4 linked regions of the Arabidopsis thaliana genome follow. The protein of the gene in region 4 purifies or fractionates together with the protein of the main gene of each other region. This does not show direct contact. Each region holds a gene or a part of one and is shown on either strand. Other genes may lie near its edges.

Region 1 (5,343 bases), on a different chromosome or scaffold from region 4:
TGAGGATGTTTCTTTGCTTGGAGTTATAATTTGATAAACCCGAAAATGCAGATGACTGTGCAAGAGTTTCCCGAGAATTCTACCGTGTCGGACCTGTTACGCAGAGCAGGACCAGGGAGCTCGAGATGGTCAATGTACAGCATCCCGGCAAAGGAAGAGCTAAGGCCAAGACTTAACCAGACACCTGTAAGTGATCTGAAATGCAAGCTGAAGATGGGAGATGTGGTGGAGCTGACTCCAGCCATACCTGACAAGTCTCTGACTGAATACAGAGAGGAAATTCAGCGGATGTATGATCGAGGGCTTGCGTTTTCACGGCCTCACCGTGCAGCTACTGGTACCATGGTTGGCTGGGGAAGCTAACTGATTCTCTTAATTACCTTTGTTCATGTATATATACTATAGTTGCATATATAGTATAATGCTTCAGAAGATTTGTTGTACCTTCGGTATTGTTGATTCCCACACAACAGTGTATATAAGATATGCCTATATGTTCTAAAAAACTGACTCTGGTCATTAATATTTGATTCTCTTACATTCTAAATCTTCAAACCACACATCTGGATCTGGTCCATAAAAACTGGCTCTGGTCATTAATTTTTGATTGTGTTACATTTCTACTTGTTGATACATAAATATTATAGATTTTTTGGTCTATCTACTTATTTGGGTACTTATTTGGGTCGTCTAGAGAGTGGGAAAGAGACCCTTTGAGGAGTTTGGCTTGGAAGGTCTGAGGTTTGTTGTTGCTGCTGTTGTTGTTCTTGAGAGGACTGTCCAGGATCTGTCATTTCTTCATCGTCCTCGGTTTCTTCAGGTTCTGTTGAAACCGACTTCTTCGGTATCACGAGCTGATAATTTGGGCTCAGCAATGTGTCCTGTTCAGGTGGGAGTGGAACACCGGGTCCTGCTATCGATTTTGGCAGAGGTATCTTGTTCCTACTTGCAGCAAGCTCAAGCAGAACCTAAATCAAACATCAAAAACAGAAACTTCAAGATTCAGGAACCAAAAGGCATGGATGTGACAGACAAAAACTTGAGGTTCTCAGTGATACAATTTATGAGGCAAGAGGGTCACACACAGTTCATAAGTCATAAGTAAGAGTGATAATTCCCTAATGATTCACATATACCAAATGACCGATCATATCGCATCTCTTCTCAGACAATGAAGAAGAAGAAACATGGAATCGTCAACAATGCATACCTCTCTTGGAGGAGGCTGTGAGAAGCTGAAATTAACTTTGGATTGAATAGCGAGCTTCACATCATCACAGTCAATGTTGGGTTTGCTAGCATGCTCTGAGTAAACCTGAGCATCTGTCAACACTTCGACCACATACCGGTACCATAACTCCAGAAACTGATGTATCACACGAGGCTCGTAGTCTTCTACACCCATCGACTTAAGCAGAGATTTCACAATCTTAGCATCTCTAGGTACATCTTCTTCACCTTCTCCTGCCATGTTTATCCCTAAACAACTAAAAAAAAAGTAAAGCTACAGAGTCAAATTAAGAACCTTTCTTATACAGAATTGATGTTGCAACAACACAAGTTTCAATCGAATCTCACAAGCAAACATCGTGTAACAGCAACACATTACATAAATCGAATAAATAAGAATTAGAGCTTCACGAATCGGAGATAAGAAAGACAAAGGAGATTCTAACCTAGCTTCATCAATAAGTTCCAAAACACAAGATTATATGCCATAAAGAGGCGATAAATACCTAATGCGAGAGAGAAAGTTTGGTGGAGAGCTAGTGGCAGAAACACGACGGAGAGATTGATGAACGGCGGCGAGGAATCGGGAAATACTAATCTCTGCCACTCTAGATCTGATATTTATGGTTTTGGTTTGTAAATCTGCTGTAACGTTGAGGGTGTAAATGTAATTTAACTAAAACGCTATTTATTACTAGTATTTTGTATTTCACTCGTGCATAGGCCCATTAAAGACCCAAATTAGAACGACGGTCGAATGTATAATATTAAATACCGATAATAGCCTCATTTCTCTTCCGTTTACTTGTCCGTGTGACCGTGTCTACGACGTTGAAATCGAAATTACCACAATGTCCTCGCCGGAGCGTGCTCTCTTGAATCTATTGACGGACATCGCTCTCTCCTTCGACGGCGCAATCCTCGGACTGACTTTAGCTGTTAGCGCCGTCGGTTCTGCTCTCAAGTATGCTTCTACCAACGCCGCGTTGAAGAAGATCAAAGATGCACCCGAAGTCTCCATTTCCGACCTCCGATCACTGCTTCCGGCTTCTGAAGACAAATCAGAGACTAACGATAACAGGAAGAGCAATGATCAGCGAATCGTTGTGGTTCGCGGAGTCGTCAAACCGAAAATTTCCGGTGATGAGGGTTACAAGAACAACAACGTGTTAATCTCTCCGGAGACTGGAGATAAAGCTCTTATCATTCAGAGAACGCAAACTGTACGTTGCTCTAAACCCTAAGTGTTTATGTTTCCCTCAAATTGCAATTGACATTGACCTAATTTTGCTTTGTGTTCTTATCAAAGGCTTAGGTTAAAGAGTTTGGATGATTTCTTCATGATTAGGTGTTCATTGTGATTGATTAAGTTAGGATTATGTAAGTTGGTACTGGTGTGATCTCAGAAGGGAAATGTATGTTTCTAATGTCATCATTTTGTTGTTGACAGTATGTGTATAGTGGATGGAAGAGATTGTTTCAGTCCACTGGTCACCGGTTTATGTTGGAGAGATCATTGCGCAAACACGGTGCTGATTTTACGAGAACGGTAAAGTCTCTCTATCAGCTTCAGAGCTTTCAACTTTGGCTCTGTATCCATGATCAAACTTGTTTTGTGTATCCTTTGCTTTGTGCAGGTCCCATTTGTCATTGTTGGAAAGGATCAGCAATCGAACTCTAGTTTTGTCGCTGTTAACATGGATGGCTCAAGGCAACCTCTTCCGCTTACCACTGTGTATAATCGCTTGCAGCCTATTAATTCTTCGTTTCTTCAAGCCTTTTTGTACCCCGATTATCCTGTGAGTATATATATATTCAAAGAAATTTCTGGTTTTGAGGAACTGATGGTTACTTGTTCTTGGCTAACTTTGTAATCCTTTCTCTTCCAAGGTTGGTCTGCTTGATATAGAGAAGATTTTACCACCTGGGAAAGATATAACAGCTGTTGGCATCTACAGTTTTAATAATGGAGTTCCTGAAATCAAATCGTGCCAAGATCTTCCTTATTTCTTGTGAGATTTTATCTGAATATTTTTCGTTCTTATATATCTGCCTGCGTTCTAGCTCAAATTATTACTTCATCTTCTTCTTTATGTTTTCTCAATCTGTTGATCATTTGACAAGATTTAGTCCATTGTTGCAGAAAGGCTCTATTTGCTGTTCATATATAAATCTTTATGAATAATCTTTGCAGATCAGAGATGACCAAGGACAAGATGATTGAGGACCTTATGGAACAGACCAACTTTATATTCTTGGGCAGCGTTATCTTGGGCATTGTGTCTGTTGGCATCCTTAGCTATGCTGCTGTCAGGTACTGGAGTTGTGAGAGATCAGATTTGGTTTTAGATTTGGGCAATGTTTCGATTTGAAATCTGTTTAACTGTCTTATCTTCAGGACCTGGAATAAATGGAAACAATGGAACCATCAGAGAGAACTGCCACAGAGACCGAACGATTCTGTGGTCGATGATGAACCCGAAGATGCAGATGAAATCCCAGATGGAGAATTGTGTGTGATCTGCGTGTCAAGAAGGAGAGTACCTGCGTTTATTCCCTGTGGACATGTAGTATGTTGCAGGCGATGTGCTTCAACCGTGGAACGAGAGTTAAACCCTAAGTGTCCAGTTTGTCTTCAGAGCATTAGGGGATCTATGCGTGTATATTACTCTTAGTGACCCTGAATCTTCTCTCATTGTATGTAATAGGGTAATGCAATTTGTACTCTCAGAGAATCGGAAGTTAACAAAATAGTTTGACAATGATTTGAAAGTTCGTCAAGTCACTCAATATAGAGTGAGAGATTGTAGAGGATATGAAAGCAAAGTTTTTAAAAGGAAGAAATTTTGTAACCGATAACATAAGTAGCCAAGGATGACTTCCCGTCATGTATCATCACCAGTCTCCGGAGTTTAGCCTGAGTTCTCTCGGAGCAAGGTCTTCTCATGTGCCTCAAGTCCCTGACATGAGAGCTGAGGCATGGTGTGTTGACGGATAACCTGAGAATCTGAACTGCGGGTTTTGGAACATGTTGATACAGTTTGAATTGGAGCTCGGTGAGATCGAACTAGACCCGATTCCGCTTCCACCACCGTGAGGGCTCATAGAGAAATTTTGTCCATTTGCCATTTGAGAAGAACACAGTGAGTTTGATGATTCTTGAAGCTTCTTTGTATTGAGGAAACGTCCACCGGAGCCTCTAGCTCTCTTTAAAGCATGAAGATGGCGAGACTCATGAAGGTACGGCTACAGAAAAAGAAAACAAAACTTTATTACATCAAATCATCAAGATCTTCTGAGTTAGTTTTCCCTCTTTCTCTTTGGTGTTTTAGGCAAAATGGAAAGTGAAAACAGTCATACTTTACGGCATTTGATGAGTTTGTTCTGAGCTTCGAGTTTAGCACGGTGCTTCCTGCGACGGAGAATCGCATGATACTGTTTCGCATTGACAAATATTGGTTCATTCTCTTGAATGTGATGAGGCAATGGCACTCTTGAAGAAACCAAACCCATCATCTCTAAATGTGGCAGCGCCTGCAAAAAGATTTCCCAATCAACCAATCAATGCGCCAGATCGATTCAGAATAGTAAAAGCACAAAAGGCTTCACAGCATATTACCGTTGGTGTTGATGCATATTCAGGAGCCAAGAAACCATTGAAATGTGACGTTTCAGCACATTGAAGAGACCAAGATATTTGACCAGAAGTAGGAGCAGGAAACACAGAGTCTTGAGACACCATCGACGAGGTAGTAATTGACTTAGTATAATTTTCAATAGGCTTTCCCAAGTTTTCGATGTAACCTGAGAGATTGTTATTAACAATGCTGCATCCATAACGCTTATATTCTCCAAAGCTTGCAACTTCACCGCCGCCTGATTCTTCTTCAGTAGATTGTGATGAGGTTGAATCTTGATTTTGCAGCTGCAAACCCGAATGTTTCATCGCGGGTAATTGTGTTGTAGACATTATCATATCCTTAGTCAAGCTGAAAGATTCAGATCCTTGAATATTTGAATTTGTTGTAGGCATTGAGTTTCCCCAAGATGAATCTTCTTTCCTTTGAAACACTTGCATTGTCTTCAAATCTTTACTTCAATAAACTAAATGTC
Region 2 (7,785 bases), on a different chromosome or scaffold from region 4:
TATCATCTCAAAAGCTAATGGTCTGGTTATAAATGGTCGTATCAATTAGGTAAATAATCATATATGTCGATCGAAACATTTGATGATGGAGCCAATGATTTTGGTTGGTCCAAATTGAGTATATCGAGCATTGACATGTTAATATATCAAATCGAAGCTCTGGAGATGACGAGTTCAACTATATCTTTAATTATTTAAAAACAAATGTATGTGATAGTGAAAACATTTACAATATATGTAAAGTTACAAAAATGAGTTATATTGCGTATTATTTTTAACTTTATAGGATTACTTTGCATTTTTTGAACGTTGAGGATAATGTTGCATAAATAGATGACTTTGAGGGCTTTTTGCGCAAAACCTATAAAAATATAATACAAAAACAAATACTGAGGCAGAAAAGAAGCTATCGCCTCCTTCAGCCGATAAGCGTCTATACTCTCTCGTTTTTTCGAGGATGTTCATGCCTTTGGCCTAGGAATGGGCATAACTATATGTTTAACACTTAGCATGTCCAACTATTTATAACAAAACTTTTAGTCCCTTGTTGCTTTTACAACCAATGTGGGATAAGTTGCTTTCATTCACATGGATTTTTGAATCACAAAAGCATTGGATGAAGGTATGAAGCTAATTATTTTTCTTCTGGAAAATGATTTAGGAAAATATGGATGATTTAAAAGGTAATATAAAAAAATATTATGGACATAAGAGGAGTGCAAACAACAAAATTTTGTAGTTTCCAACAAGATTAAAGTCGTAGTAAATTTTCCAAACCCCCAAAACTCTACTCCTTGTTTGTTTAGAATTTTTATAAAAAGTAAGAGACAGAACATAAATAAATAATCTAAAATTCACATGAAATATTTCTTTCAAACAATTGCGTGTAGTAAAAAAAAAAGCGAAAGGCAGCAACAACTATGAACGTACCAGAGAGTTTAGACACTCAACAGGTAAGGAGACAAAAGCTGGAATCAAACAGGTGACAGCTTTAGTCGATGGATTTCTGCAATCAATTGTTTGCTCAAGTTATTGCCTCCTATAGTCGTTGAGTATCTACACCCTCTGATATATTTGAGGTTATTGCCACCTTCAACCAAAGCATGAGAAAAATATATATGTTCAACACTCGGTATGTTTAACTATTTATAGCCAAACTTTCATTTTTTCTTGCTTTCGCATCCGATGTGGGACTCATTGCCTTTTTTCACGTGGGTTTTTAATCACAAAAGCATTGGATGAAGCTAAATATGATCAATATAGACTCTATTTACATTAGTTATTGGGCTTTTATTGGATAGGTCAAATTTCATATTTACTATTATTTTGAAAATGTGAAAATTGTAATTATAATTATTAAATTTACATTTTAAACAAGAATTTGTTTTTTCTCGATTGTTTAAAACTGATTATAATTTACAATAATATTTATTTACCATCATAACATTTATACATCGTCACATGAAATTATGAAAAGAAAATAAAAAATTAAAGATTCTCTTCATAAAAATTTCTGTTTACCATAAAATCTCTTTTTGAGAATAATTTCAGGTAACCCCAAGCGAACAAAAGTTACAAAACCCGAAAGATACCGCTAAACCCGAACACCCCCACCGCTAATTCAGTTTTTCCATTTCTGATTTGAATGTTGAAAATCTTAATTTGAATCATCTAAACTTTAAAGAACCAATAACAGTGGAAGTCCCAGTGTCTTAACGTCGAACCCATTTTTCTAACTTTCTCCTTTACATAATGGAAAGTTCAACATAATATCACACAAGTAATGAACAAAAGCCACTTATGATGATAACGACCATAGAAAAACAGAGTTTTCAAAATATATGCGCGGCTAAGCCATTTTCATCTTCTTTATCTGTTGTTGTTAAGAACATGTCGAAGCCGGAATGTTTCACCTTGGTCTCCATTCAGTGACCGCCTTTCTAAACAGCACACGGTTAACTGTCTTAGCAGTTTCTCTAGATGGGATTGCAAGTGACAGCTTCTCTGCACATCTTTCTTATTTGGATTTGTTGATAGTATTGCTGCATTCACCGCATCAGCCACTAATTCCCTCTGTGAGTCTTCTAGGAAATACCAGACCGATGATTCCTCAGGCTTTTCATACGCGAGCAAAGCAAAGCAGTCCTGAATAATCAACAAGAAAATAGAGTTCCTAAGCGAAGCAGCAACATATATAGTCTCTGTATCTGAACGCAATACATACATATTCTCAGAAACCAGATCTTGCTTGAAAGAAAAAGGAGTAAAGGAGACATTGGTACCTCGACTATATCTTGAAATCCAGTTAACCCAACAAATTTAGCTAACTCGAGTCTGCCATAGTTCACACCTTCTTCAAGTTTTCCAACCTGTTTATGCCATGTTTTTCCAAAACCATATAGTTAGAGAAATAGCCCCATCTGCATAGATGTGAAAGTGAACAAAGAAGGAATAATCCAGAGAACTAACTTAAGGTGATATTTATACACGGTGACAAGGTTCCATGCATCTATGTAACATGGTTTCCAGTGTGTTATAGGTTCTGTGCATTTTTTCACTAGTTTATGGTTTAACACCAAAGTCCATCACACAGTTCAAGCAGCTAATTTTTGTATGAGACACCAAATCCATCAAAAGCTTCCTTAATTACAAAAATTTTATTCTTATATGCACAGAGAGAGAATATTTCTGACAAGTATTAAGAACACGAAATTTAGATGGTTAAGGAATGAAGAGCATACCCGTACTAATTCAATAAACTTTTGACAGTGAAGGAGGAAGCAAACTACAGATTTATCGTCCTGCAGTAGGTACAGCCGGGTAAGACTTCGTATCACAATCCTGTGAAGTGGATCATCTCAACAATATGATAAGAAATCTCAGTTCACCTGTACAATTTGGGGATACAACTTTTGGAGTTCCGCCAAAGCAGTATCAATCTCACCATTCCTAACAAGCTACACCCAATAAAGAATGAATCAGTCCAAATTCACTAACGAAGCAGTAATTTAGTATGGGTTTGAATAGGAACCAAAAAAAGCCAGATACAAGCCTAATAAAGTTAGAAGATAACATGTCTTATATGTTAAACCGTAGCAAGTTCAATACCTGTCTAAGATTCTTTCTCTGTTTCAAAGCATAGGATGAATCATCCTCGTCAATAGCATTTTCTTGATCTATATGAATTGGAGGAACTGTATTTTTAGTAGCAAGGTTGAAAGCATCGAGTGTCTCCTCATACCCATAGTGTAGCAGGTAGGTCTTGACAAGCCTAATGATAAAGAAAACAAAATTATAGATAAAGCAGAAAGCTAGTCCAGAAGGGAAACCAAGTATTGCAATTCAAAGTTAAAAAAGTACATGATCTGTTACTGCTGGGAAGGAGTGTACTCACCCATAACCAATGTTTGGAGGTATGGATATTTTTTCAATAGCCAATTGTTGCTTATTCCTCTCTGATGCTTCATATCCCTAATAATACAGAAAGAGGGAAACAGCCCTCGTCAATTACTTAATTTCAAACATATATGTAATGGAAAGAATTTTTATGCCCTACTTCAGTGTTTAAAGATTATAACTTGAGTGCCCAAGAGTTTGAGGTTTGATTACACAGGAACAGTAAAATAGCAAATGTGAGAGCAATGTCTACAAAGAGAACCACTGCTATAGATTCGGTAACCCCAGTACCAAGAACGGACATGAGGCATACCTATTATGTGATTTCAATAGCAGTAGTCCTGGTTACACCATCCTTACTTTAGTATAAAGCTATGAGACCTAATTAACCACGTTTGAAAGGATTTTTCCTCTTACCTTAATATCGAAAGCAAATTTCTTCTTCCCAAAATTGACTAATACCCTGCCAAAATTTCAGAAAAATATGCTTTGTGTAAGAGAGAGTGAGATACATGATGGCAATGGTATTGATCTTTAAAGAGAGAGTGAGAACATACTCCTCATTTTGGCTATGTACAGCTACAGTAGGGAATAGATGACCTCTTATGTCCTTGGGGATTTTCCCAACAATAGTTCCGTTTTTACTGGCACCAACAAAAATAATCAAAAATGTCATCAGCTTTAACAGACAAAGAGTAACAGGAAAATGAATGAATCATGAATTCAACTCACAGTAGTAATGAACTTATTTAAGTACCAAAAAACATGAAACAGTTTCTTTCTTACGTGAAAAAGAACTCCTGAGAAGCGTAGTTTATACCACCGCCAACTGCATCATCTTTTGTAAACTTTGGACCAAAAGGTTCACCTTTTCCCTGTCCACGATATAGGTATCCATCATCCCCATGATATCCACAGCTGTTCACTTCCCATCTACCATTACAAAAGAAAACTATAACCTCAAATTCAAGTATTAGGCAGATAAAGCTTCTTTCAAAGGCACTATCATCCATATTTGTAAACTCAAGAACCTAGCTTTCAAATAAACCACAAAGCAATGTCCTTCGAATTTCAGATTCTTCCCTAAACCACTTCTACACAACTGAACTCACCAGAAAGAACACACACAACCTAATCCAAGAAGCTAAATCTCTATAATAACTAAACCACAACTTGGATCCCAAAACCATACCACAAACCTCAATTTCTAAAATAAACCATACCTTAAACACAACAATGATCAAGCTACAAGCTAAAACTATACTTCTTGAACTAAATCCTTCAAATTCAGATTCTTCCCTAAACAACTTCAACACACAATGATCAACAAAGATTGGATCCAAAATCCAAAGATAAAGAAAACAATACCCAGGTTGTCTACGCATTTTGAAGCTTTCCTTAGTAAAACCAATAGCAATTTGTCCTTTAATACCAGAATCTTTAACAAAAATCTCAAAGTAGTAAGTAAGACACTTGATCGGAGCAGGTTTATTAGCTTGAACAACACCAACATCGTGACCATGTAGATTCGTATTCGTGTACTTCACGGAAAGCTTATCAGGAGAAACCACAAGAAATCCGCCGGCGCTATTGATCGTATTCAACTCCGTCGGTAATTCTTCTCCTTCGTCTTCCTTCGCATCTCGTTTAGCGGAGAGACGAATCTTGTCTAAGAAGTTTAAGTTCAGATCTTGACCGTTCTCGCCGTTGTTGGTTGTATCGCCGTTGGCGGAATTCGCCGGTGGTGGTGAAGAGTTCATTGGTTTTGGTTCCGATTAGAGAAAACCCTAGAAATTTTGAGATTAGGCTCTTCAGAGGTTTTTGGAGTCTATAAGAAGAAGAACACTGAATTAGAGAATTTGTTGAGATTTCTTCTTCTCTTTGATTTATTTTTTGATCCGTTGTTTATTTTTGTGACCCGCTAGTTTCGGTATTTGTTAGACTTATTTTTTTCTTATATATATTTCTCTATATAAATTTCATAAATAATATTTAGTTATATACCAATTAGTTGGCTGTTTCAATTCATAAAAAAACACAAACTTTTTTATAAAATGTAAAATTAATCCATGTTTTATCAAATTTAATTCATACACACTTTTAAAATGTAAAATCAAATCCATGTTTTTATCAAATGTGATTCATAAAGACTTTTAATATCAAAAGTGGTTTTATTACCAAAACAAAACTTAAAATAAAAAATATTTCAAAAACAAAAGAGAAAAAACAAAAGTTTCATGGCACACTTGATTTTTCCGATCTTGAACCTTCTACTCTCGAACTACTTGTAGTCTTTCGAGTATCTCCATGGTTAAACTCATTGGTATCTTCTGTGGTACCTACAATTTACAATGAAATTTAATTAATATAATTCAATTACCTATAAAGCTTTCAATTTAAAACTCTTACCTTCATAGTCAACAAACTTGCGTAGCCAATTGCGAGTACAAAGCAAACATGAACATTTTCTGGAAGCAAGCGATTTCTATATGGAGTCAAAACCCTCGATCCAATGCTAAAAGCTGAGTTTGATGCTACTTTAGTAATAGGAATGCTAAGGACATCGCATGTCATAGAAGCTAAACCGCCAAATCGATTCTGATTATCTTTCCAATAGCTTAAGACATCCAAATTTCGAAAAAGACTTTCACTCTCATCCAAATAAATATCCAAGTGTGTCTTTGTGTTGTTCACACCGTCTTCAATACTTCTTTCTAGTTCAAATAGATCTTATGTTACAAAAACTCACATTAAGTTAATTCACCAAGTTCCAACTTTATACAATATCATCAAATTCTTCTCGAGCCCTTTAATTTTTAACTTATAAGTAGTAGAATTTACTTTCTTTTAAGCTACTTCAAGCATCTTCAATTTAAGCTTCGGATCCAAAACTGCTCTCATAGCCAAAATGAGACTATAATCTTCCCAATACTCGGAAAATTTACCATGCATCTCTTGAGCCACTTGCTCAACAACATCATCATCACAAATAGCATACTTCTTCAGCAACAACTCAATCCTCCATATTTGTGTAAAGTATACATTGGATGTGGGATACTTAGAGCCTAAAAAGTAAGTGATAATAACACTAAAAGGTTTCAATAGATCAAAAATTTATCATTGGTATCAAAAGCTTTCATGCTAACAAACGCTTCTCTAAACTTCAACGCTCTAGCAAGCATTTCATCTTTCTACATGCCATGTTCATATTCCGAACAAAAAAATTGCATTCAAACGATTAAAAGAAAGAAAAAAAATTGGTATGCCCGAATTTTTTGTTGAATAATTACAAACTTTATTTTTGCATTCGAACTTATTTTTCCCCAAAATTGCTAAATCAAAGAAGCATCAGAACAATGAAGTTTATATGTGATATGTTTGTCTTTTGTTTTGATTGAATTTCTTCTTCATTCTTTTTTTGCATTATTGAAAATTATCAAACATTATTTCAATTTTAGAGGTTTGAAAATCTAAAGGTAAACTAGATAAGGATCCACGATGTGCAGCGTGAGGAAATATTTGTGGCAATTTTGGTTTGATAGTTTACATCATAAATCATAATCATAATATTTTCTATTTAATAAAATTTATTTTGTAATTTTCTGTATTTAATTTATTGTGTCATACTCCAATATAATTCCGCAATTGGATCAGTAAATTCGATAATCCTACGCTAATCCACCCAATGTTAAAATCCGTTGGATCATACTCTATGTTTTTGTAATCTATTTTGGATCTATACTCTATGTTCTTGTTTTTTTATAAAGAAAGAAAATGAATCAAATACTGAATGAGTTAAAACAATAGCAGACATACATATAAAATAGTGTGCACATTGAAGTGCTGCTAAATTTTTTAAAATCTTAAATATATTGTAGAGATTGTTAGGTTTAGGAGTCAATTTTAAATCTTCAAGATATGAAAAATTCTTGCAAATCAAGTTTAGTTCAAAATATATGAAAATTGTATTCTAAATTATTGAATGTAAAATATAGTGAAAATGGTTTGCATATATTTTAGGGAGATTTACAAAACTACCATTTTTTACTATCCTTTTGCAACAGTACCCTTTTATATTGTTCATTTTTAAAAATATCCCTTTCCTTGAACAGAATGACCAAATTACCCTTATCTAATAAGCACATGTAATTGGAAACTGAAAGTTTCCCGTCGAATTTTTGGCGCCAAAATTTATTTTTCCCGCCAAAAAAAAAATTTCGCCAAACAAGGAATTTTAAAAGTGGCATTGAATGATTTACAAGGAATTTTAAAAGTAAGTAAGTGGCATTGAATGATTTACAAGGAATTTTAAAAGTGGTTAACATGATTTACAATCGTTTTTAAAACACAAGTAAGTGTCAAAGAATGAATTACAAGGGATTTTAAAAA
Region 3 (5,480 bases), on a different chromosome or scaffold from region 4:
TTTCCTCTCTCATCCTAAGGAAGAAAACACAAACTTTTAATTCCTGTACTACCTATAATTCTAGATTTCATATAACATATGAGAATCACTTACTTCAAAATGCGATTCTGAAGGTCCAACGCAGATGCTTCTTTCCCACTTGATGCAGCATCAACATTATCGCCACCTTCATTCAGACCTCTGTTGTCAGAATGTTCATATCTTTCTGCAGCTTTATGAGTCTCGTCATCATCTTCATGACTTTTCTTACTCGCTCTCTCCTTGACTCTTGCCCTATCCTTGTCTTTTTCCTTCTCGTTATCCCTCTCATTTTCTCTATCTTTATGTCTATTTCTTTCCTTTTCCTTGTCCTTTTCTTTAACCCGATCTCTACTCTTATCTTTCTCCCTCTCTTTATCTCTACCTCTAGAGATCTCCTTCTCAGTGTCCTCATCTCTACTTCTTTTTCGGTCTCTCTCTTTCTCCTTATCCCTGCGGTGGTCCTTATCCCTGATCTTTTCTCGATCATAGTCCTTTTCTTTATCCTTGCTCCTATGATCCTTCTCTTTCCTCCTTCCATCTCTGTGTTCTCTAACAGGCGAACCCTCGTAGTCAGCCCTCTCTTCCCTGATTTCATGCCTTGATTTAGACTTCTCCACTTCCATTTTCAAGAACTTTAGTCAAGACCTAACCACAGAAAAAGGAGTTACTCAGTAACAACAATTACAATGGTAGCAAAACTACAGCCGAGCAAGATGAGAATAACAAAACTATTATATTGGCATTACTCTGACAAAGTACTTGCACACTTGATGACAATTTTCGGTTTCAAAACTAGTGACAAAACACAAAAACACAAAAACCCTAACCTAAGAAGGATTTCATTATTATTGGGGAAATAAGGTAAAATCAAATCCTGAATCTAGCTAGCTATAAACATATTCAGACTTTGGAGGATAAACGGAAAACGGAACAAGGTCAAGCGATTCGAAATTCATCGGAAAAAAGAAGAAGCAAACATCTGAAACGAAATATCAAAGAAAACAAAGGTTGATCAAATTCCGATTCGAATTACCTCTAGATCAAACCTTCAATGGAAAGTACTGAATATTCGGATCGACGAACAAAGAGCTCAGAATTGCAGGAGAAATTTCCGAGGGTTTAGAGATAAATTGCGAAAGCACACCGACGAATAGTAAGGTTTAGAAGATAAAGACCTAGCAACTGCGAAGAATTTAGAAAAGAATGCTTCAAACGAGAGAGATGACGACAAACAGCAAACCGCGGACGATCGCAAACTCGCCGTGGAAAGAGACGGAGAGACTCTCTGGTGGCGAAGAGAGGAGAACGATTTTGCAAAATAGAGAAGATATACGTGTACTGTATATATATTAGTCCGGTTTAAAAGCAAATTCTTTGGTACGGGAATAAATCTTAGTCGGTTGAATTTTCTGGACCGGTTATTTTCCTGATGAATCATTACCAAACTTGGTTTAGTCAAATAAATCACTTTCTCCTGACCTTTCCGGTTCACATAGTCCTCAAAACCTCGAGAAGATCTGCCATTATTTTTTTTGAATCTGCGAGTTAAAATGAAACATACATATCCTTATTTTCATAGCAATTTTGGTTATGAGGCAACCAGAAGAAACCAGAAATTTATAAAACAGATTCTTCTTATCAATGAAAGGTTTGTTTCTTTAGCATTCAAGAGGAAGACAAAGTTGCTAAGATTAGGAGCTAATCGATGGACATGGCTTCAGCGCCATCAGCGGTAATGTTCCTCTGCATTTCTTCCACCATACTCTTCTGTTCATCCTCCATTGTCTCCTGCAACTCATCCACCTATACATAAAAGTTTTCACAAAACCAAAAAGGTTAGGATTTAGCTGTAAACATAAAGAAACACGAGAAAGGCGAAATCTTGTTTAGAATCTTAGCTATAAAAACACAACGAAACCCGTAAAATCGACATACCACATGCAACAACAATGCAAACTGCTTCTTCCTTAGTTCAAGAAGTCTCCAACTTGCTGTATTCTCAGCCTCGAGTTCTGCAATCTCCTTCTTCAATTCATGTATAACCTTCTGCGTCTCTGACCTCGGTGGCTGCGCAGAGATAAGTTTCCTAATGGCTTCACACTCCTCTTTCTGTTGTCTCTCTATCTTACTCTCCTCAAGCTGTTTCTTAAGATCTTCTATATCAGCTTGTGCCTGCATTATCTGCCTATTCGTCTCATCTTTAAGCTCGTTAAAGTTCTCTTTCTCCCTAAGATTTGCAGCGACAACTACTTGGCTCTTAAGAAGCGGAATCTCAAACGCAGAGAGTTCTTGCAAGAAAGCTTTCGCGAGCCTACCACACTCACTGTAGTTATCTTCTTCTTTGTCTAGTTCAATAACAAAAGAAGTGAATTTCTTCTGAAGCTTCTTCAATGGAGGTTCGCCTCTGGTGGTGGTCGTGCGTGTGAGAAGCCTATTTCTTATAATTTTGTCATCATGTAACGGATCGAAAGCATAATTAGCTGCTACAGTCTCTGATCTACCCGAAACAATCCTCCTAGCTCTCACTGACATCTTAACTACTAGAGTCTAATATTATTCAAATCTGCAGAACAAACACAATTCATAATAAGCTAGGCTAGGCTTCGCATAATTCTGACAAAGCATTATCTTAAACCAAACAAATAAATCTATGTAAGCTAAAAACTGCTCAAAACAATGAGAACACACTAAGGTCCTTTTTGAATACTCATTCACGGGAATTCATAACATTCGAACTAGTAATTAAGCAAAAGTTTCATAGAATTCGATTTATTCTTCTCATCGTCAAAATCGTTATAGGACAACTTCTGTTTCTCAAATTTTCAGTGAACCGAAATTATAGTGAGATTGACCCAATAAATAATCGGCGAAAAAGAGAATATTTAACTTACTTGAACCGAACCGAACCCAATATCAATTCACCTCTTGTACGATTAAAAATCCGAAACAGAGAAATTATGATTCTCTGATGCACTGTGAACCCTAATTCTATGTTTCCGTTCCTTCTTCCCCTTTCCCTCGTTCTTCACAGTTTGCTCGTTAACTTTCATTTATTATATACCTAATCCCTATTGTTTTTTAAATTACAATTTAAGCATTCACAGTGGTGAACTGAAATTTGTTACTAACCCAGAAAATTGGTCTGGTTTGTTTTTTTTTTTTTAAATCTGTTTAAACATCTCTAGTTAATTCCATGTCATGTGAATTAGCCCCAATTAGAGCCAAAAGCTGTTCATGATCAGAATTGAAGAAGGATCTGGTTTCTCGAAAAAAGTATTGGGGTTTGTTTTTGTAATTTTAAGTAAATTATATGAGCTTATGCTAGTTTTCACGCCATAAAGCACAAAGCTAATTTTTTCAACAAGCTAACTAATTTAAGACAATAAGACTAACAGTGGATTGAACCCTCCGTCCCAAAGAGTTGTCTTCAACTATCACATCACAATATTTACATTTTTATCACATTATTATTCTACACGAACACACACAATAGGATCACAACCAGAGCTTAATGGAAGACATTAAAATGAATGATTTTACAAAGTCTATGAATGGGAGACGGACACTATACGTAATCATACCCGGATGATACTCTTTCCGATGCAAGGTTTCGTTTAGTCTGAGTGGGCAAGAGACACCGCGTGTTGTCTTTGCTTTTAAGCCATTTCGAGCCTTTCTCATCGTGGTTCACCGTCAGCTTTGATGCGAAAGATTTGATTCCGCTCCTCATATAATTCAGAACCAACACCGCAAGATCTCTGCAATGCAGCCATGATTCAGCGATAACCCCATCTATGAAGAAACCGCAAAGAAACATCACAGCAAACAGAATTTAGAATGCAAAAAATACTTGTGTTTTGTACATACAAGGGTGAGCAAGGAGAGCGAGAACCGTTGATAAAGTAGACGAACAAGTAAGAATCGAAATGCTGGCCGTTGATTAAGTAGAATCCGTGTAACCTCCTTACACATCTGAAAGACATTCTTTTGTACAACCGGATTGCGGGATTGTTGTGTGCAATCACGTGAAGGTAAACACCACGGCACACAGGGATACCAGAAGAGTATTTGACGACCTCGTTAATAAGTGCCTTAGCTGCACAAAAAAGTTGCAGAACTTAATATTAACAAAACCAAGCAATAGAAGAGAAGCATCAAGCCATCAACAAAATATCCATATCATTGGTTTACTACATGGGGTCAGAATCAATACCGATTCCACGTTTTCTGTATGTTTCTACAACTCCAAGTGTTAGGATGTACACCAATGTCCCCTCTCCCTTCGACGAGTCATATCTTATTAGATCTGATATCTGTACAAGACATAGAAAATCTATCAACATATTACCCAAGAAACAGCCATTGATGACTCTTAACATTAAACGAACAAGTACAAAACAAGTTTGGATCATAATCAAGATGTTAATAAAGTGGCTGGCTCTTTTTGATTTTCTAGAACTTTCGTAAGAAACCCATCTAATGTACATGGCTTTAAAATTCACGCTTAAACCATTAGACATTGTGAAATGGTTCAACAACATTCAAAATCTACACTTCACAATTACTTGTTACTTGCTGTATAAAGTTATTTCGAAATTTCAGAACCAAAACCCAAAAGGCGAAGAACAAAGAGAAGACAATGTTTTACTACTGAAGAAGCTCCAACCAAAACTTAAAAGCTTAGAAAAAGCTGTTGAAATTGTAGAAAGTTTATATTTTTAAGAAATTTTTAAGAAAATGTTTCAAACATTCAAAATTTTCACTTTACAAGACATTGCATCTTCTTTACAAAACCCAAAAACCATTCAAAACAAGCTTCAAAAATAACTTGAAACGTTACAAATTGAAGCTTTATTTTCTCCAGTGGAAAGAAACCCATTTCGGACATTTGAAATCTACACTTGAACAAGACGATGAAAAAGGAAGACACTTGAACAAAACACAAAGCAACTCACTTCGCTTTCTTTGGCAAGTACGATTTTGGCAGTAACAAATCCAATAAGTTCCTCAGAATGACCATCAGGGCGACTCCGATCAACAGCAGCCCAAGAGACAATATCACCTCCGTTGACAACATTCTGAAAAAACTCAGACTCATACCTGAACAAAATCAAATGCTTTGATAAGACACTTCCAAAAAACGGAAAGTCAAATCCCAAAACCAGATCACATATAAATTCTTTCCAAAACAAAGGTATTTATTTACCTGATTGGGAATATGTCACGATGGATTTGCTCCAAACGTTCTAAATCAGAAGGGTTTATTGGTCTGAAGCAAATAGTTGGACGACGAGCGATTTTGGGTTCCTCCATTGATGAATTCTCCACAAATCCACGGGGAAAACGCGACATTGATCGAGATGATTAAGACTCAAACAACCTCAAATTCTCAATTTTTGATACTTTCATCTGAGAAAGAATCGAGTTCGAGATCAAAATCGGTCTCCGACCCGTTTGTC
Region 4 (5,828 bases):
CCTAGAACAAAGCACCTCGGGACCTTATTCGATCGACCGTCCCGAAGAGAGTTTGTAAAATGGCTCGGGTGTTAATCATATGAACACAGCCCGAGCCAATCGTGAGAACGCTGCGGGACACATCTATATCGGCTCGGGAGACAGCCAACTGAGCTTAATGGACAGTCATCAAGCGCGCCCCGAGCCGGTACATACCGTTTGCCCCGAAGCCACCTCTCAAACGACCACCGAGCCGTGAAGAACACGCGAGGCAAAGACTTGTAAAAACCATTCATTCTCCAAGGATCATTTCCGGTAAAATGGGATCTTTTATGGGACTTTCAGAAATGATAAAGGAGAATCTTTGAAGATAATGTCGAAATCAGGAAATCTCCCCAAAACCTCCGAAGAATAAGGAGAATATCCTTAGGACGATTATCCTCTAGAACCGACCTAAGGATAAATAAGAATCTTCCGAAGAATATCGCTAGGGAGGCGGTTTAAGGATCCTATATAAAGTGCCTTAGGGACTTCACAAAAAGGGGGAGATCTTGGGATATTCACAAGAAACATAGAACTTTATACCTATTGAGAACTACGAATGGCTTGATCCCTTCACAGGGTACGTAGGCAATCCATCATGGATGCAGCTATACCTTTTTAAAACTTTAATTCTTTTTCTGTTCTTGAGCAAAACCCTAATGTATTTCATAAGAGATTAGAACCCCTCTTGTAATCGAGTCTTGGATAGAATACCTAATGAAGAGAAATTACTAGATTTGTTTTCCCTCTCTAAACAAATCTATTGTGTGAATCCTTGGTTCAACAAACTTCTTGGTTAAACTCCATGACCATGGTCAACACTAAGTTCCCTTTCACAACACCCGCAGCTATTAGATACTATATATACTATAAACAGTTTAAGATTCGTATTTGAAGCCATCTCGAATATAAATCTATGTTTATGACTAGTCTGTTTTATAAACGATCCGTCAAGTCCTTTGAAGCCAGCTTTTTAGGTAAGGGAGAGAGATAGAATAACTAAGATAAGCAAAACAAAGATTAGGACGTATATGCATTGCCGAATAGTGAGATAAGTAGACAAAGAATGAGCAACTGTTTTTTTTTTTTTGGTTCTTCGGTCACACACCAAACAAACTTCAAAATGAATTCTTATGTAGCTTTATAGGAACCATACCATGGTGGAGAATAAAAGCCTAACCAGTAAACCAACATTTGAAAACAAAAACCCTCTCTTGTTATTAGTACTACCTAGGGGTCCAATATTGTCATGAATAAGAAAATCCCTAAATCATAAGAGCAAGGCTAAAAACTCCCCCCTCACTCAAAATACTCACTAGGAAGAAATGGTCATCATGTTCTTGCGACAGATCAGTTATATATCACTATATATGTTCCCTTTTGCAGAGCCGTTAGTTGTTGAAAGGGAAGAAGAATCATTCTGGTCGGTATATGAGCTGGCCAGTGGAAAAATCATTCATGCGTGGATACACATAGACTGTTTTTTCATCCAGTTGATTCTGAGTCCAAATCAGCTCCTTCAACAAGCGCTCCAATTCAGGACCTGTTGACAATTCACAAAACATAACATCATCATCATCTCACTTGGTACATTGACAAAGTTTCAAGAGCTGGAAATCTGAAAGACACATGAGAGCAACTAGGGACTGTAATTATGACACTTTTGGCCATCATAAACAACTGGTTCTGTTTTTTGGTAGATAAGCTCATTATTTTTCACTTTCTGTGTCAGTAAAAAGTATAGCCATATACCTTTTTCTCCAGTCTGGCTTGTATGGATTGCTTCGTTTACGTGGCTAGCAGTCCTAATCCACTGCGAGTTGTGGAAAAGCTCCCTGGACGGGCAGTTAGGGAGACCTTCAGTAACGAGTATACACACTGTTTTTTCCAGTTCTCTTTGTAAGGCCTCCTGCATAAGATTGCAGAATTTGTTTATGACCAGTTCCAATCTCCTATTATAAGATGAATCTGCTAAAGACTCACATTCTCCTCAGCTAGTGGCGCGAGTTTTTCCTGTGCAAACGCAACAGCCTCCTCGGTCTTCTTCTCACGGATCAACTCGATCAACATTTGCTGGTGGAGGTGAAAACTTGTTTTGATAATCTACAAACACCAAAAACCAAAAAACAAGTAATGAGATATCCAACTATTTCTTCTCTTAAGCACTTAGGAAACTCCATATACCTCAGGGTTTAGTGCATTCAACTTCTCAATTGCATCCTCGAGATTTCGGGATTCGATAGCTTTTATCACCTCCAATCGCTCATTCATGCTAGCAAGATCTTCCTCTGCTGTTTCTGGTTAAAGGAAAAAAGAACTGAAAGCAGAAAGTTATTTCACAAGTTTAAACTTGAATCATCACCATCAGAAGAGAACGAATCTGAGAAATGTCTTCCACACTTTTAAAGCAGCATCATCATCAGAAGAGAAAGAATCTAACAAAAGTTCTTTTACAAGTTTAAACAAGAATCATCATCATCAGAAGAGAACGAATCTGAGAAAGTTCTTACACAAATCACAAGTTTAAACATGAATCATCATCCGAATCAGAAGAGAACGAATCTAATAAATTCCTTTCACTAGTTTAAACACGAATCATCATCAGAGAAATAATCTGAGAAATTTCATTCACACTCTCACAAGCATCATCATATAATTTAAACACGAATCACATCATCATCATAAGAGAAAGAATCTGAGAAATTACTTTCAGACTTTCACAAGCATCATCATCACCATAAAAGAACGAATCTGAGAAATTTCTTCCAGACTTTCACAAGCATCATCATCACCATCATCAGAACAAGAAAGAATCAAAGAAATTTCTTTCACAAGTTTAAACATGAATCATCATCAGAGAGGATACGCATAGTTATAGACTCCTCTTTGAATTTCTCAGCAGCTTCTCTATATCCTTCAGCCACAAGAAGATTCATCACGAGTCTGTTCATGTCTTCTATCAAAATTTCCACATCACTTAGCTTCGATTCCCAATCTTCACTCGTTACTACGATCTTCGGAGTTTCCTGAAGTAACAAATTCATCCAATCAGGATACTAAGAACAAGATCGCTGAAGTTGAATGAAGATATTACCATACTATCTTCTTCGTTCTCTTCCGAAATCGAGCAAATCCAAGGAACTGAACAAGAAATTAGAATTAAGATCTTTAGTCAAAGTTCAAAATCCGGATGCGCGATGCAATAGCGTAATGTTTACGGAAGATTTGACGTAATTTTCGTTTTCCCCAGAAAATACCTGTAGAAATTTTCCGGGAATGAGAAGGAAAATTCTGGAGACTTTGGAGCGAAATGGCTTCTTTCTAAATTCTTTTGTTTTGGCTACCAAAAATCTCAATCTTCCCCCTTCTTTATTAAAACCGGTTTCAATCGAACCGTTAATTAACCGAGACTGTTCAATTGGTTTAGATATTATTTTCCCCGAATCTCAATTTATAGGTTTTGTAATTATGGAAAAGGATTTTAATGAAAAAAAAACCTCTACATATCCATTTTAAAACCATTAATTATATTAATAATAAATAATACTATTAACTAAGAAATTTTAGTGACAAAAACCCTTAAATATTAATCAGTTTATTTAAAATCTTTAAACTATTAACAAAACAAACACACAAATATTTATAGTTCTATTTTACATCCCTCCATCTCTTAACCAGAAAACTCATTCGTCTATAGTATCGTCAGAATCCTAAACGTCTGTTATCAAATAAATATTATTGTATTTTGATTTATTAAAAGATGATATGTATATTTTTTTTAAGATATAAGAGAATGTCATGTTTGCTTTAAATTAGCATTAAAAACATGGTACAATAAATTGCAAAACTGAAATGATAAACCAATATAATTAAGATATCGCATCATATATTACGTATAACAATAAAAATCAACATGTATAGTTTTAGTAACTAAATGAATTTGAAATAAAATATAAGCACGATAATGGATGACGATTACACTATCTTGGAATTTTTAAATCGACATTAGCAATTTTTAAGAATATAAGTTTTAAACATTTTTAATAAGCATTAACACAATATATCTATTAAACGAGATATATTTAAGCGTAATTATTAATGAAGGAGCCTTTTTTCTTAATATTTATACTTAAAGGTGATTTTCATTAACAATTTAGTTAGAGATTTATATGGACCGACTGTAACACCCCGAACCGTTCTAAAACTAAGAACGAATCCGGAAGCGTTACCTAAGACGCTCGTAGACAATCCGACTGAGTTCCCAGAACACCTCCAGTACCAAGGTCAGTCCATCTGCGAACATCGTTCCTCTCGAACATGGCCTAAGGCTTTTCAACCCGTACCACATTCGCAAGTTGTGTTAGTCCGGACAAGACTAATATCAGAGATATACAAGGCTTTTAAGAAAACTCATTTTATTAATCTTAAAATACTTCAAAATACATTTGTGTTCGGCTAGCCAGGCCTAATGCCCAAATCGAGTCATACAACATATATTCAAAAATATATTTTTACACTAACAGAAGCTTCCTGGTGTTCTCAACAACACTTCTGAACTTAGAATTAACTCCTACATCTGATGCATCTGGTACACTAACAGAAGCTTCATGACTCTTAGCGATAGCCAATAAATCTGAACTCACTCGTGATTGCTCTATAACTCTTTTGATTAGCCTCCTTTGATCTATGATCACTTTAGGTAGTGCTAGTTTACCCATTATTCCATCAAATTTTTCTTTACGAAAGATTTTGAAAGTCACGGTCACACTTCTACGTTCGCGACCTTCAGTCCGATTGCTAGTCATCTTCAGGGGTATTACATTGCTGGTATAAACAGAGGGTTTTACCTTAATTTAAAATCACAAAACTGTTACCTTTATATACTAAAATGTTTGGCATCTAACCGATAAAGTTGTGTTAGATAAAATGGCTAGACACTTCATTTTAAAGAAAAATCGTTACCTTTATATATTAAAACGTTTGGTGTATAATCAATGAAGTTTGTGGGATGAGATGGTTTAACACCCTCTCTATAGACAAAGAGGACACGGGTTCGAAACCGTATTTTGCAAAAATTTGAAAATTTTACATTCCAACACTGCAAAACGACGTCGTTTTAAACACGTCATTATCACAGTGTGTGCGCTGACTCAAAATCTTCACGGTGTTGACTAACTTCTGTTAATTTGACTCTGAATTTTACGCGTTTTCTTAAATTTGGGTATAAAATTCAAATAAAGATGCATTTTAGATATGAAAATATCTTACAAATTTGTTTGGTATGAAAATACACTTACAATATAGTACCGGTATGAAAATAACAATAACATTGTGAGATCTAACAACTTGATTATTCAGAATCGTAATCGTAAAACTAGACAAACAGCGCGAGCGGTTACAATCGGATCAAATCCAAGTCTGAACACGCTCAATTCCTCCATCCCACACCTCGTCTCAAAGCTTTCCTCGATGAAGAATAGATGAATTACGATGAGAATGAGCCCTTGCTTTCTCTACAAATTGCTGACGATGGCCAAAGATAATGTTGTCAGTGCTGATAAACAAAATAGTTCACGTGAAGAGAGATTTCAGATTGCTAATATACCTAATTTCCTAAGAAGATGAAGAAACCCATAATGCAATGTTCACAATATATATTTATTCGTATGCAATATCAACAATAAATGCAGTCAAAATTGCGATCTCAAAAGTCACTCACAATATAACTTTTAGACGTGTATAGATTTCGCAAACCGTATGTCTATATATAGGTTATTAAAACTACGTCGTTTTAAGCCTTTAAAAAA

Evidence for each region.
Region 1: the proteins of AT4G09300 (region 4) and TAFII21 fractionate together in Arabidopsis thaliana (co-fractionation; one large-scale study listed by BioGRID). This does not show direct contact.
Region 2: the proteins of AT4G09300 (region 4) and RanBPM fractionate together in Arabidopsis thaliana (co-fractionation; one large-scale study listed by BioGRID). This does not show direct contact.
Region 3: the proteins of AT4G09300 (region 4) and THO7 fractionate together in Arabidopsis thaliana (co-fractionation; one large-scale study listed by BioGRID). This does not show direct contact.

What each region holds. Positions count from the first base shown.
Region 1 is NC_003070.9:20,213,399-20,218,741, forward strand, and holds TAFII21 (TATA binding protein associated factor 21kDa subunit), read right to left. Parts: upstream 1,868-5,343; 5' UTR 1,737-1,867; intron 1,488-1,736; 5' UTR 1,472-1,487; coding exon 1,211-1,471; intron 969-1,210; coding exon 678-968; 3' UTR 501-677; downstream 1-500. Other genes in the region: RSH3 (RELA/SPOT homolog 3), read left to right, coding at 52-363; SPL2 (E3 Ubiquitin ligase family protein), read left to right, coding at 2,082-2,453, 2,681-2,779, 2,868-3,029, 3,121-3,242, 3,425-3,544, 3,629-3,905; NF-YA5 (nuclear factor Y, subunit A5), read right to left, coding at 4,183-4,476, 4,591-4,764, 4,850-5,308.
Region 2 is NC_003070.9:13,049,767-13,057,551, forward strand, and holds RanBPM (SPla/RYanodine receptor (SPRY) domain-containing protein), read right to left. Parts: upstream 5,328-7,785; 5' UTR 5,157-5,327; coding exon 4,765-5,156; intron 4,330-4,764; coding exon 4,183-4,329; intron 4,041-4,182; coding exon 3,954-4,040; intron 3,860-3,953; coding exon 3,814-3,859; intron 3,472-3,813; coding exon 3,395-3,471; intron 3,272-3,394; coding exon 3,109-3,271; intron 2,958-3,108; coding exon 2,889-2,957; intron 2,802-2,888; coding exon 2,742-2,801; intron 2,370-2,741; coding exon 2,283-2,369; intron 2,146-2,282; coding exon 1,870-2,145; 3' UTR 1,391-1,869; downstream 1-1,390.
Region 3 is NC_003076.8:5,520,923-5,526,402, forward strand, and holds THO7 (Tho complex subunit 7/Mft1p), read right to left. Parts: upstream 3,090-5,480; 5' UTR 2,913-3,089; exon of another isoform or gene 2,585-2,912; 5' UTR 2,554-2,584; coding exon 1,957-2,553; intron 1,825-1,956; coding exon 1,720-1,824; 3' UTR 1,495-1,719; downstream 1-1,494. Other genes in the region: DOT2 (SART-1 family), read right to left, coding at 1-14, 94-644; AT5G16800 (Acyl-CoA N-acyltransferases (NAT) superfamily protein), read right to left, coding at 3,587-3,813, 3,914-4,117, 4,235-4,334, 4,977-5,121, 5,228-5,373.
Region 4 is NC_003075.7:5,896,298-5,902,125, reverse strand, and holds AT4G09300 (LisH and RanBPM domains containing protein), read right to left. Parts: upstream 3,114-5,828; 5' UTR 3,066-3,113; coding exon 2,888-3,065; intron 2,498-2,887; exon of another isoform or gene 2,313-2,497; coding exon 2,206-2,312; intron 2,125-2,205; coding exon 2,005-2,124; intron 1,931-2,004; coding exon 1,774-1,930; intron 1,565-1,773; coding exon 1,437-1,564; 3' UTR 1,112-1,436; downstream 1-1,111.